Linked DNA regions of Macaca fascicularis. The protein of the gene in region 3 interacts with the protein of the main gene of each other region in a pairwise test. Links are inferred from orthologs where the notes say so. Each region holds a gene or a part of one and is shown on either strand. Other genes may lie near its edges. The genes, in order: DBNL, HMBOX1 and SH2D4A.

Evidence for each region.
Region 1: the proteins of SH2D4A (region 3) and DBNL interact in binary tests that used the Homo sapiens proteins (3 or more experiments, as listed by UniProt). The two-hybrid records come from large-scale screens. The link is inferred for Macaca fascicularis from reciprocal best matches to the Homo sapiens genes SH2D4A and DBNL.
Region 2: the proteins of SH2D4A (region 3) and HMBOX1 interact in binary tests that used the Homo sapiens proteins (3 or more experiments, as listed by UniProt). The two-hybrid records come from large-scale screens. The link is inferred for Macaca fascicularis from reciprocal best matches to the Homo sapiens genes SH2D4A and HMBOX1.

Annotation. Positions count from the first base shown.
Region 1 is NC_088377.1:86,295,294-86,299,634, forward strand, and holds the start of DBNL (drebrin-like protein), read right to left. Parts: upstream 2,881-4,341; 5' UTR 2,818-2,880; coding exon 2,735-2,817; intron 1-2,734. UniProt on the Homo sapiens protein: Adapter protein that binds F-actin and DNM1, and thereby plays a role in receptor-mediated endocytosis.
Region 2 is NC_088382.1:32,204,593-32,208,241, reverse strand, and holds part of HMBOX1 (homeobox-containing protein 1), read right to left. Parts: intron 3,423-3,649; coding exon 3,269-3,422; intron 1-3,268. UniProt on the Homo sapiens protein: Binds directly to 5'-TTAGGG-3' repeats in telomeric DNA. Associates with the telomerase complex at sites of active telomere processing and positively regulates telomere elongation.
Region 3 is NC_088382.1:22,384,093-22,387,741, reverse strand, and holds part of SH2D4A (SH2 domain-containing protein 4A), read right to left. Parts: intron 854-3,649; 5' UTR 650-853; coding exon 469-649; intron 1-468. UniProt on the Homo sapiens protein: Inhibits estrogen-induced cell proliferation by competing with PLCG for binding to ESR1, blocking the effect of estrogen on PLCG and repressing estrogen-induced proliferation. May play a role in T-cell development and function.

The DNA.
Region 1 (4,341 bases), on a different chromosome or scaffold from region 3:
CTTTCTAATGGGAGAAAAAATACACACCTAACACTAATGTACTATTAGCGAGTGAAGCAGGTGCTAGAGGTGACACATGAACCAGGTAAGATCAATACCAAGATATGGAGTAAGCAGGGGCAGGAGACAGATTCAAGACAGAGAGCTGATGTCATGGCTGCTCCCCACTCTGCCTGCCTTCCCCAATGCCAGCACTGTGTGTGTGAAACCTCTTATGCCCCACCAAACTAGAGACCACCTCTTCTTCCTCTGATATCTCTACCACTTTTTCTGTATGAATCTCTGTCCATCCTTCATCCAAGCATCTGCTACACATAACAACTGTGCCTCAGGCACCAAGGACAGAGAGACCCCACCCCTTCCAGTAAGAGATAAAGGTGACAAGAAAACCCATAAGGATTTTCAGCACATGTTGTGTCTGGCATGTGTCTGAAGGAAGTCAAACAGAAAGATGGGAAAAAGTGCCTACAGACAGGGAGCTAGGAATCAAGGAAGGCCTCTCTGAGAAGGCAACCTTGGGGCAAAGAAGTGAAGGCTGGGGACAACGTGGAAGAAGTGTGCTCCACGCAGAGGAAGCAGCAGAGCAAGGACTCTGAAGAGGAACCAACTTGTAAGTTTGAGGAAGAGAAAGACGGCCAGAGTGGTGACAAACAGGTGTGGCCACAGTGTGGTAAGTAAAAGGGGTGGTAGGTTCTGGGTCACGCAGGACATCAGCAGAGCGAGGAGTCTAGGCTTTATTCAACATGCAACAGGAAGCCACTGTAGAGTTATAGACACGGAAGTGACATGGTCCAGATATTTTTCCGCAGTGTGCAGGAATCTACCACACAGTATCTGCTGTAACCTTAATGGTTGTGACTATGAGGGTGGAGGCCAGTGGGTCATGCTGCTGAGTAACACAACCTGTAGTGCTACAAGAGCCTGAAGGTAGGGAGGGAGCATGGCATGGCTGTCTGGGCAGATGAGTCCAGTGAGATAGGTGGGTTCTGACTTCATGAAGGGAAAGAGGAGGTTCCACAACCCTCATGAGGGACAGAGAGTAGATGGGGTGGGTAAGCACCAGGCCAGGAGTGGTAGCAGACAGCTCTGGTAAGAAGCCCAAGGAAAGGCTAGGAACATAGGAGGTCTGAAGAGGGAAGCCCAAACTGCCAGGTGGGCTAGGAGGCATCATCCCAAACCAGTGATGGTTCCTCAGAAGACTGATGATGAAGAGAGACCTGGAAGAGAGATAGATCAGGAGTGCCAGGAAGCTCCTAGGTAAGTCTGCCAGGGTAAACAAAGTGATCAAGAGCATGTTAAGAAGCAAAATCTTTAACTGGGCAGGGCTGGAGAGGGGCAAAGATTCTTCTGGGTTCTAAAGCCAAGTGGTATCATGAGGACATGAAAATGGGGCACTCATTGCAGAGATGCTTTTGACTGGGTTTGAAGTAACAGGAGAGGCCTAAGAGAAACACGAACAGGAATAGGAGAGAGGCAAAACAGGGGGCTGACATCTAGAAACTCTCCTGAGAAAACTAACACTGACTGACATGTGGGTAAATCTGAGGGATTATAAAGCAGGCAGAAAACCCTACCAAGGAAGTGACGAGACATCCTTCTTTAGATGCCTCCCAAACAGAAGATGTGCTGTTTGGCATAAGTGCCATCCAGGGCACCCAGACCTGACAGGAGAGTCTACAGACACCCCACAGACCTAAGCAACTGCTATTCTAAAGCTCTTCCCCTAATGGCCCGGGGCGGAGGAAAAGGCAAAGCCATAACATCCTCAGGGTCACAACAGTACACTGCATAAAAGCCGCTCTGTGCTGGGCACTAGGAAGTGCGGAGGAGATGAGAAAGCACTTGTACAAGTGGAGATGGCCCCCATACAAGGGGAAGACAGTCGGGAGGGCCTCAGTGCTGACCACAGGGTGGCCCCACCACGACTCAGCCTCCAAGGCCCAGTTTCTATTCCCCAAAGTTGGTCACCTTAGCCCACCATACTCAGCATATTTCTCAGAATTGGAATTTCTCAAAATCGGTCAGCGAAAACAATTTAAGCAAATGGGAAAGTGAGGATATCTTGGGTGGGGGAGGGAAAATGGGACCTTTTCCCAAATAGATAGCGAGCATCCTACTTTCGTACATCTTCTCATGTCTCAGGCACAGGAAAGAGTACACTTTTTGGAGAAAGAAACGTTCTGAAGTCCATGTTCACAGAGAGCCAAGAACCCAGATCCCCGAGCTCCTCGTCTGAAGCCCCCAGGGCAGGGCTCACATTCACAGCCTGGCCGCCAGGCCGTTCTCAAATGCCCATCTCTGAACACAGCGTTTGCAAAAAAAAGGGCGTGGCTTCCGCCTTCTCAGAGAGGGCTATGCAGGGCCCCCTTCTCCAGGGAAGTCCCAGGGCTGGAAAGAAGAACCTGGCGAAGCTAGCAAGCACGACCAGGCCGAGGATCCAACATGGAAGCCCGCGGAGCCCATAGTGGGTGGCGAGCGGCAAGGGGAGGGGCGGGGACTCACTAGGTCCCTGCAAGCCGGGTTTAACTTTTCCACAATCGGCGGGGCAAGGGGTCACGGGGGGAGACAGCACTCCTGCTGCGGTGTGGAGGGGGCAGACAGGTAAGCCCCGGGCCACCTGCCGGGGTGCAGCTCCCTGCTCGCGCTCCCGCTCCTCCCGGGTCCCCGGCTCGCCCCAGACAGACCCACCCCTGAGGCAGCCCCTGGCCCGACCCTGGCCCGTCTCGCCGCCCACCAGTCGGTCGGGGACTTCTCGGTGACCACCCGCACGTAGGCCTCCTGCAGCGCTGGCCCGTTCCGGCTCAGGTTCGCCGCCATGGCCCGCCCCGCAGTCTCCGCGCCGCTGCTGCCGCTTCCGGGCCGGACCGCCCCTTTGACAGCAGACAAGCCTAGCCTCCGACAACCGGAAACCCCGCCCCACGGCAGGAAGCGGAAATGACAGGGGCCAGCTGCACCCGCGGGTCCTAGCGAGTCGTCAGGCCCCCTGGTCTAGCATCCGGGTCCCGCGAACGCCGAAAGACAAGCGGGAGAAGCGAGGACTCGGCTTTCTGTTTGTCCTCAGGGAGGGATCCTGGGGCGCGGACTAGCTGTTTTCTGGTCCCACGCAAACGGCAGCTTGACTTGGAAGCCTGGCCGAGAGGACCCAGTCCAGCCCCCGCTAGCTGCTCTCACAGCACCGTGCTCATTCTTTTCTAAATCTTGTTATGTCGATGCGCTTATTTGAGAGATCTTGGGTTCACTGCAGTCTCCCTCCAGACGAGGTCTTCAGCCTGTTTGTGGACCCTCAACAGTTTGATCTATGAATGAAACATGCATAAATGTACGAATACCCGGATAAATGAATGCTAAGTGACGATCACATCGCTACAAACCTAACTGAAAGTGCCTTTGTGCTTTCTCACTCTCACCTGAGTTTTTCACTCTGCAATTTGGTGGAGGCCAGGATAGTGGAGGCGTGAAGAGAACCTGCCTTGTGCTTCACCTGCACATCTGGATGGTCGCCCCTAGAAGGTGTCAGTAATTCCTCAATCTGCTCCCCTCCTCCAGTGAACACCAGTTTTTCCATCCACAAATCTGCCTACACTGACTGAACTAGCTTCTTATCTGCGTGATAGGGAAACATGCCAAAGCCCAAGGCAGCTCACAGCTTCTTTCCCTCCCATGGAGAATAACTCCCCTTCCTCCTTAAAATATAAATCCGGCCGGGCGCAGTGGCTCACGCCTGTAATCCCAGCACTTTGGGAGGCCAAGGTGGGCGGATCGCGAGGTCAGGAGATCGAGACCATCCTGGCTAACACCGTGAAACCCCGTCTCTACTAAAAATACAAAAAATTAGCCGGGTGTGACGGCGTGCGCCTGTAGTCCCAGCAACTCGGGAGGCTGAGAATGGCGTGAACCCCGGGAGGCGGAGCTTGCAATGAACCCAGATAGCGCCACTGCACTCTAGCCTGGGCGACAGAGAAAGACTCCATCTCAAAAAAAGGAAAATTATATATATATATGTATATGTATAAAATATATATGTATTATATATATATAAATCTACAGTCCCCTAAGTCCAGATGTGCTTTGGAATTCAATCTAAGATTTCAGAAAAGTTATACCATATATGTCCTGTATACTCTGTAAGCCCTTATCACAGGATCTGGAGAGGAACTGGTAATCAGACGTGTTCATACTTTTGCTGTGATGTGTGTGAATAATCAGCTAAGTGGAATATAAGAAGACTCTAAATATCCTCATGGCCATTAAGGTCAGTTTTTGCTACCAAATGAACTACCAAAATCTTAAGGTGTTTGGATCTGGATGGTGCAGATAAGGGCTTGTGGACCTAATTTAGAA
Region 2 (3,649 bases), about 9.8 Mb from region 3:
CTTTTCATATTTTTTGCCAGTATATCTTTAAGATTCTTTTTTTTTTGTTTGTTTGAGATAGGGTCTTTCTCTGTCACCCAGACTGGAGTGCAGTGGTGTGATCACAGCTCACTGCAGCCTCAAACTCCTGGGCTCAAGCAATCGTCCTGCCTCAGCCTCCCAAATGGCTGGGACTACAGGCATGCCCCACCACACTTTTTTGTATTTTTTGTAGAGATGGGGTCTCACTATGTTGCCTAGGCTGGTCTCAAACTCCTGGCCTCAAGTGGTTCTTCCACCTCAGCCCTCCCAAAGGGTTGGGATTTACAGGTGTGACCCACTGGTCCTAAGATAATTTTCTAGAAGTAGGAAGGTCAAGTCAAAGGGTAAACTCATAGGTAATTTTCCTTGATATTGCCGAATTCCCTTCCATTAAGTTGTTTCATTTTGCATTTCTACAAGTAATGTATGAGAGTATCTGTTTCTCTACAGCCCAATCAATAGAAAATGTTGCCAAACTTTTGGATTTTTGTTAATGTGATAAGAATAGTATCTCAATGTAGTTTTAATTTGAATTTCTCTTGCTATCAATTAGATTGAGCATATTTTCATATGTTCAAGGACCATTTGCATTTTTTTCTCCTATCTTTAGCCCAATAAGGATAGAGTTGTTGGTCTTTTCTCTTTTAAGAACTCTTTATTAGAGATAATAAAAGTTGCAATTTTTTTTCCCAATTTGTCTTTTACTTTGCTCAGCTTTTTCTCCCTCCAAAGTTTTTCTTTTAATTTACGTAATCATATTTATCGATCTTTTCCTTTATTGTTTTTAGATTTTGAGTCACAGTTAGGAAATATTTTTCCCATTTCCAGGATATGAAGGGACCACTCATGTTTTCTTCTATTATTTATATGGATTCATGTTTTCTTCTATTATTTATATGGATTCACTTCTTTGACTCATTTGAAATTTATCTTGATATATGAAGAATGGAATAATTTTTTACTTTTTTAAAATTTCATTTTAATTTTTGAGATAGGATCTTACTGTGTCACCCAGGTTGGGGTACAGTGGTGCAATCATAGCTCACTGTAACCTCAAACTCCTGGGCCCAAGCAGTCCTCTCACATCAGCCTCCTGAGTAGCTGGGAATGTGGGTGTATGCCACCACGCTCAGACATTCTTTGAATTTTTTGTAGAGATGGGGTTTTGCTATGTTGCCCAGGCTGGTCTCGAACCCCTGGCCTCAACTGATCCTTCCGCCTTGGCCTCCCAAAACTGAAATTATAGGTGTGAACCACCATGTCCAGCCTTACTTTTCTCTTATACTAATATCTGAGTAAGGCTTTCTTTGCTGGTTTTACAGTCTATGCATTATGTATTCATTTGTCCATTCAGTCAAGAAAAAATTTTATGTGTCATACTAAGGGCAGGAATTTTGCATTTCATTTTGGAAAACAAAAAGTTACATTTTTACAGAACAAAAATCATACTGTGACCTTCTGTACTATCAAGTATTTTGAAAGGTTTTCTGCACTTTTGCAACTATTGGCATAAACTGCATCCTCTTTCTAGTTGTGCCAGGTAACATAAAATTAAGCCAAAGATAACCAACTCCTGCATTAGATAAAGCCATTTGTTAATTAAAGTTAAAAAGCATAAATTAAGACTAAATAGGAGTCACAGAACAGGGTAAATGCTCAATATCTTTTTAATTAAAATTCAGTGTGATTCTGTGTCTAATTCTTGTCACCTAGGAAAAATAAGAATCCCTAAGTCTCTGAGGTTCAACTCTGAAAGTACATTAGGAATATCACCTATTGATATTACTGTCATCAATTTTTTACTTAATTCTTTCTCATGCTGACATTTTGTGATAAATATATACTGGTATTTTCATGAAAAAAACTAACTGGCTAAGTCACTAGCACAATTAGAACTTAGCACCAGGTAGAAACTAATACCTAAAGGAAAATGTACAATATTGAAAATAATTTAGGTTAGACATTATTTTAATTCTCACCTGCTGTGTGCCAAGTTCTAAAGAAATTTTCAAAAAGAATAAAAATTCCTAGATGAGAAAAATAGAGCAGATTGTAAATGTCAGGTCTCCAGGACAATAATGTCTCATTCTTTCACTTTAATGACTCAAGAATATAAGGATTCATTATTCAATGAATGGCTTCTGCTCTTATCTATAATAAAGAGAGCGAGGAAAGGAATAGATGACAACATCAATGGATAACCTATAATCTCATTTTGGATACTGGATCTCACCTTCACCTTAAGCAAACCTATTAATTTCAACCATATCACATGAACAAAAACATCCGAATTTCGGCATTTTAAATCTCCCTCTCTTTCAGGTAGTGAAGTTCATGAGCTGGGAAATAATCAGAAAGTAGCAGGATGAGAGATGGCAAAAGTCTTAGATGACATACTGGCTATCAAAAAACTTCATTTTAGACAGGAGTTACAGCTGAGAATTTGTGACCTAAACAAAGTTAGTTGGGTGTAAGTCTTCCGACTCTGAGTCCAGTGCTCTGTCCAATATACCAATTCTACTAGTCAGGTCAGATAAGAAAAATGTACAGCTGGAACATTATTACCTAACTGCATATAAACAAAATTCCACTGAAAAAAAATTCTGTAAACATCACTTACAAGTAGATGACTAAAAAAGATAATTCTACTATAGGATCTATGCTAAGTATGCCAAACATTTCAGAATCATAATTAATTTATACCATTTCAGATGGGAAAATTGAAGCTACGGTCAAATTTAGGTTAAAAAAAAAATCACTGAGTACCTACTATGGATCAGGTACTGTAGAATGAGAGGATAAATTACTAAAACAAAGTCAAAAATAAGTATTTTTAACCTTTGGGACAAAGCTTATTTAGACCATACTCCTTATTAAAGAAAGTTAAATCTCAGTAGTCTCCTATACAATTATTCAATATTTTTGATGAAAAGAAGACTTCAGAGAGTTTTCCAAAATATAATACAAAGATGTGAATTCAAAAAATATTTATTCCAACATTTCTTAAATTACTGGGGACACTATTATAAGTAAAATAAATTGACAGATGCTAACTCCAGCTTTATGAATTCTCAATGCTAAGATCACCTTATTTCAATAATACAGCATTTATAATATTCTAATGCACTTTTAGAGATAGAACCAAGATACCCAATTACTTGTTTGAAGTGAAAACTGTCCCAATCTATCCAGAGTTGATGTCTTCCCTAAGTTTGCGAGATTTCTCATAGAAAAAGGAGACACATACCTTTCCATAACAGCCAGGCACTCCTTTCTCCAAGTAAATCGACTCCCTCGTCGTAGTCGGAAAGTACCAGATGTGGCAGAGACTGGGGGAGGCGTTTGTCTCCATTCAGGGTCCTCTATTGGAATGGGGGCTGGTCTCATACTTAGTGTAGCGCCTGAAATAAATAAGACAGTTTTAGCAAATATCTTGCAGTTAATTTAAACCAATACGACATCTACCTCCTATGGGACTAGGGAAGTATGGTCTTTGGCTTAGTGACAACTTAATCAATGTATCTTTCTCTGAAAAATTTCTTTTGAAATTCCTGCTTGATAGTTATACTTTTTGAACAATATACCTCAGATGTTCAGAATCTTTCATTACCATTCAAATAAGTTATGA
Region 3 (3,649 bases):
TTTCCTTACAGCAGTTCCTTACATTTTAAGAGAGGGTGTTCCCTAAAAAGATACCTCAAAGAAAAATCTCTGAGGTCTAAGAAATGTAAACACAATTGCTATAAATATATTGATATAAGAACTTTGTGTTCTGGTAGTAGAATATAAGGAATCAGTAACAATAAAGGAGATAGAAACCTTTCTTAATACCCCTCAAATCAAACTCCATAGGTGACTTTTTACTACAGCTTCAGGTTAGTCTCATTTCAAGTAAGAGATTTCCTCACAGTTATGCAACTCCATGGTGAATGCTGTGTGTGTGTAGACTTCAAGCAGATATACTGCACTACTGGATTCTCAGTAACATTTAGGATTCATCTACCAAACTGGAACTTGCACTTGCTTTGCTTGTGATTAGTTTGAAATTGTCAAAGCCAGCCAGGAGTTATTCTACCAACACGTTCACAAAAGAAACGTGGCTAAGTTTACCTTTCTTTGGTCTGGGTTTCACTGGCAAGGACTCCTTTCTTTCCATAGCTGCTTCTCTTTCTTTCCATCGTCGGATCTGTTCCTCTCTCATCTTGAAGAACAGGATCTGTTTCTGTTCTTCGCTGAGCTCTGCCAGTAGATCGGGATCTATGTACATCTCCGACAGTATCTGTTTCAGCATCTTTGCAGTTCTGGAGTCTTTTATACCTGTGGCAAAAGTTCCTGAAACTGGCCTCCAGGTGTCCCTCCACCTGTGCTGGCACTTGGGCGTGTCCACAAAACTTCCCGAACAGCTCACAATCCTGGCTGACTGGGGCAATAATTCAGCAAACTGGCTCCTGAGACCTGGCACCAAATGTCCGGTCCAAAATGCTGTTCACTGAACCTACAGAGAGAAAGAGCCCGCATTCAGGTGGCATGTTAAAATGTGTGGACGCTGGCTAGGACGGGTTAAAAAAAAAAAAAAAAGCCAGGAGGAAATACAGTATCACTTTTCATTTCAGGGAGAAAACAGAAAAAGAAAACCTGAGGCACACTTTGTTAAGAGTTTGTGTAACTTCTATCCTATAATTTCTAAAGATACTTTGTCAAAAAAAAGAAAACAAACCCTAACTTTATACAGGTCAATCTCAGGGAAACAAAAAAAGTTCACAGAGGTTTGTCCTGCTCCCAACTAAGCAAACACATGATTACCCCAGAGCCTAACAAACCACCAACTGTGTGGCTGAAAAAAGAAAGGCAAAAAGAAAGGTCACAGGAAGAAATTAAAAGGCTCTCTGCAAAGTACCTATTTCAAAAGAAAATACCATTTTTGAGATGTCACAGAGTAACTCACCCCAAACCAAACCAAAATAGAGCCATGTTCAAGGAAGAAAAAGGAAGAAATAAAAACTAGACCACCATGCAATTTCTGCAATTTCCCTAAAAAGTAGCATTAAATAAACATAATTATGTACTTTCCTCTTCACAAAAGGATAATGTAATTTCCAGGCAACCTACTAGAGCCATGAAAATCAGGGCAGGTGCAAGAGAGAACATCCGTCTACATTCTGGAAGGTCACCGAGTTTTAGGTGTGCTTTTACTAGATAACCTAGTTTAATAAAATCTAAATGGACAGACCAGATAAACTAGCGGGATGAAGAGGTCATTAGGTTCATAACAAAGGATCCTTGATTTATATGAGTTTACTGCATGGCTCCGTGAAAGAGAAACCATAAATCGAGTGTGCACAGTGGCCTCCTAGAGGTTCTCCTGGGGTTGGAAATCCCACTGAGGTTTCATTCTGCTTTCCACATTTCTATTTGGTTGGCTTAAAAATATTACCACACTGTCATACTTTTTCTCTCTATTTTTAAACAATTTCTAAGTCTCATAAACCATCATACTTTTGTAATCAGAAGGAAACTATGTAAATATTTCTATTCTGGAAAACAAGACTTTGGATTCGATGTAGTACGATGTAAGAAAAAAAACTTACTACAACTTTTCAGAATCACATGTGTCCTAAGAAATTCACCAATAGACTAGGCATGGTGGCTCACACCTGTAATCCCAGCACTTTAGGAGGCCAAGGTGGGTGGATCACGAGGTCAGGAGTTCGAGACCAGTCTGACCAATATGGTAAAACTCCACCTCTACTAAAAAAACAAAAAATACAGAAATTAGCCAGGCATGGTAGTGGGCACCTGTAATTCCAGCTACTCGGGAGGGTGAGACAGGAGATCGCTTGAACCCGGGAGGCGGAGATTGCAGTGAGCCGAGATCGCGCCACTGCATTCCAGCCTGGGTGACAGAGACAGACTCCATCTCAAAAAAAAAAAAAAAAAAGAAAAGAAAAAATAAGAAATTGACCAATAATTTGTTGTTTACAGTAACACCTCAATAATCTTACCACCTTGCCATGTGCTCTCAAATATCTTGTTTCTCCATACTATATTCAAACACTCTTAAACTTTAGACAAGTCACTTAGCTATATTATGGCCATCGTAGTGTTGGTTTCTCTTCGTTTACCTTGTCATTGATACAGCTAGATTTGTAATGCTTCTCTCACCACCTGGGGGCCTCCTTCAGCTTCCTGTCTTCCTCCTCTTCCTTGCAAAGTTGTTCCTTGATGTACATCTGTCTTTTGAGACGAGCACGCTCAATAGCTAGGCTACCACAGAATGGTGTGCATACGCAGCACTCAGATTCGCTGACTGTTCATTGCAAAGCCAGACCCTTGATGAAACTACACCTATCCCTACTGACTGCAACCTATCATCTCAGCAGCATTCAACCACCGGAATTCAAATGGAACCAAATATTAAGAGAAAACTTTTAAAGGACTAAAAGTAATGTCACGCCCCCTGCCAGGTCCCCTTGCTAACTTTGTATTTTGCATGGAGATACCCTTAAAGGCTTGAACAGTCAAAAAAATGGATGTCTTGTAATGATTTCTTGACTGTTTCTAGCAGCTTCTGAAGGGGTGGAGCCAATGAAATCCACAAGCTCCAAGATAAAGTGGTAAGAAACGACACGGAATGACTCCTTGACATTCCAGTAAATGTCTTTATGTTCTGTGGTTGGCTTTCGCAGAAATCACACATGGCAGAAAATGAACAGTTCAGTTAGGGTTGAGACTTCCGCTCTGTTCCCCATTTTCAATGCGGTGAGTCCTATTCAAGGCGTGGGTAGAGCCTAAAATCTAAAACCCTTAAAGCGCCAAAGTCACATTCCTACTGTCTCCCCCGCCCTGCATATTCCTGATAACACAGCTAACACTTCTCGTACCAGGCACCATCTTAATTAAGCACTTTACCTGTGTTAACTCGCTTAATCTTCATAATAACCCTTCGAGTCCAGCCCATCACTGTGCTCATTTCACAGATTAGGAAGACAGAGCACAGGTCAGCAGCTGGTAAGCGGCAGAGCCGGGCAGTCCAGCTCTAAGTCAGCTTCACTGTAATCCACAGCACAGAGGCCTTTTTGTGAGTTTATTTGTGTGCCCAGAATCAGAACAGCAGGATGTGGCGCCATGTATGAAATTTCAGAATGGAAGCCAGCAAATTCCTGCAGGAACAGAAATGCTGAACTGATGGTGCTTGACACAGGGCAGAAGCCTCCTCCTGGTCCGCTGTAGCTAAGCTTAGGGGATGCCAGGTGAACACAGCCCAGCCAGGAAGGCCAGAAAAGAACCGACT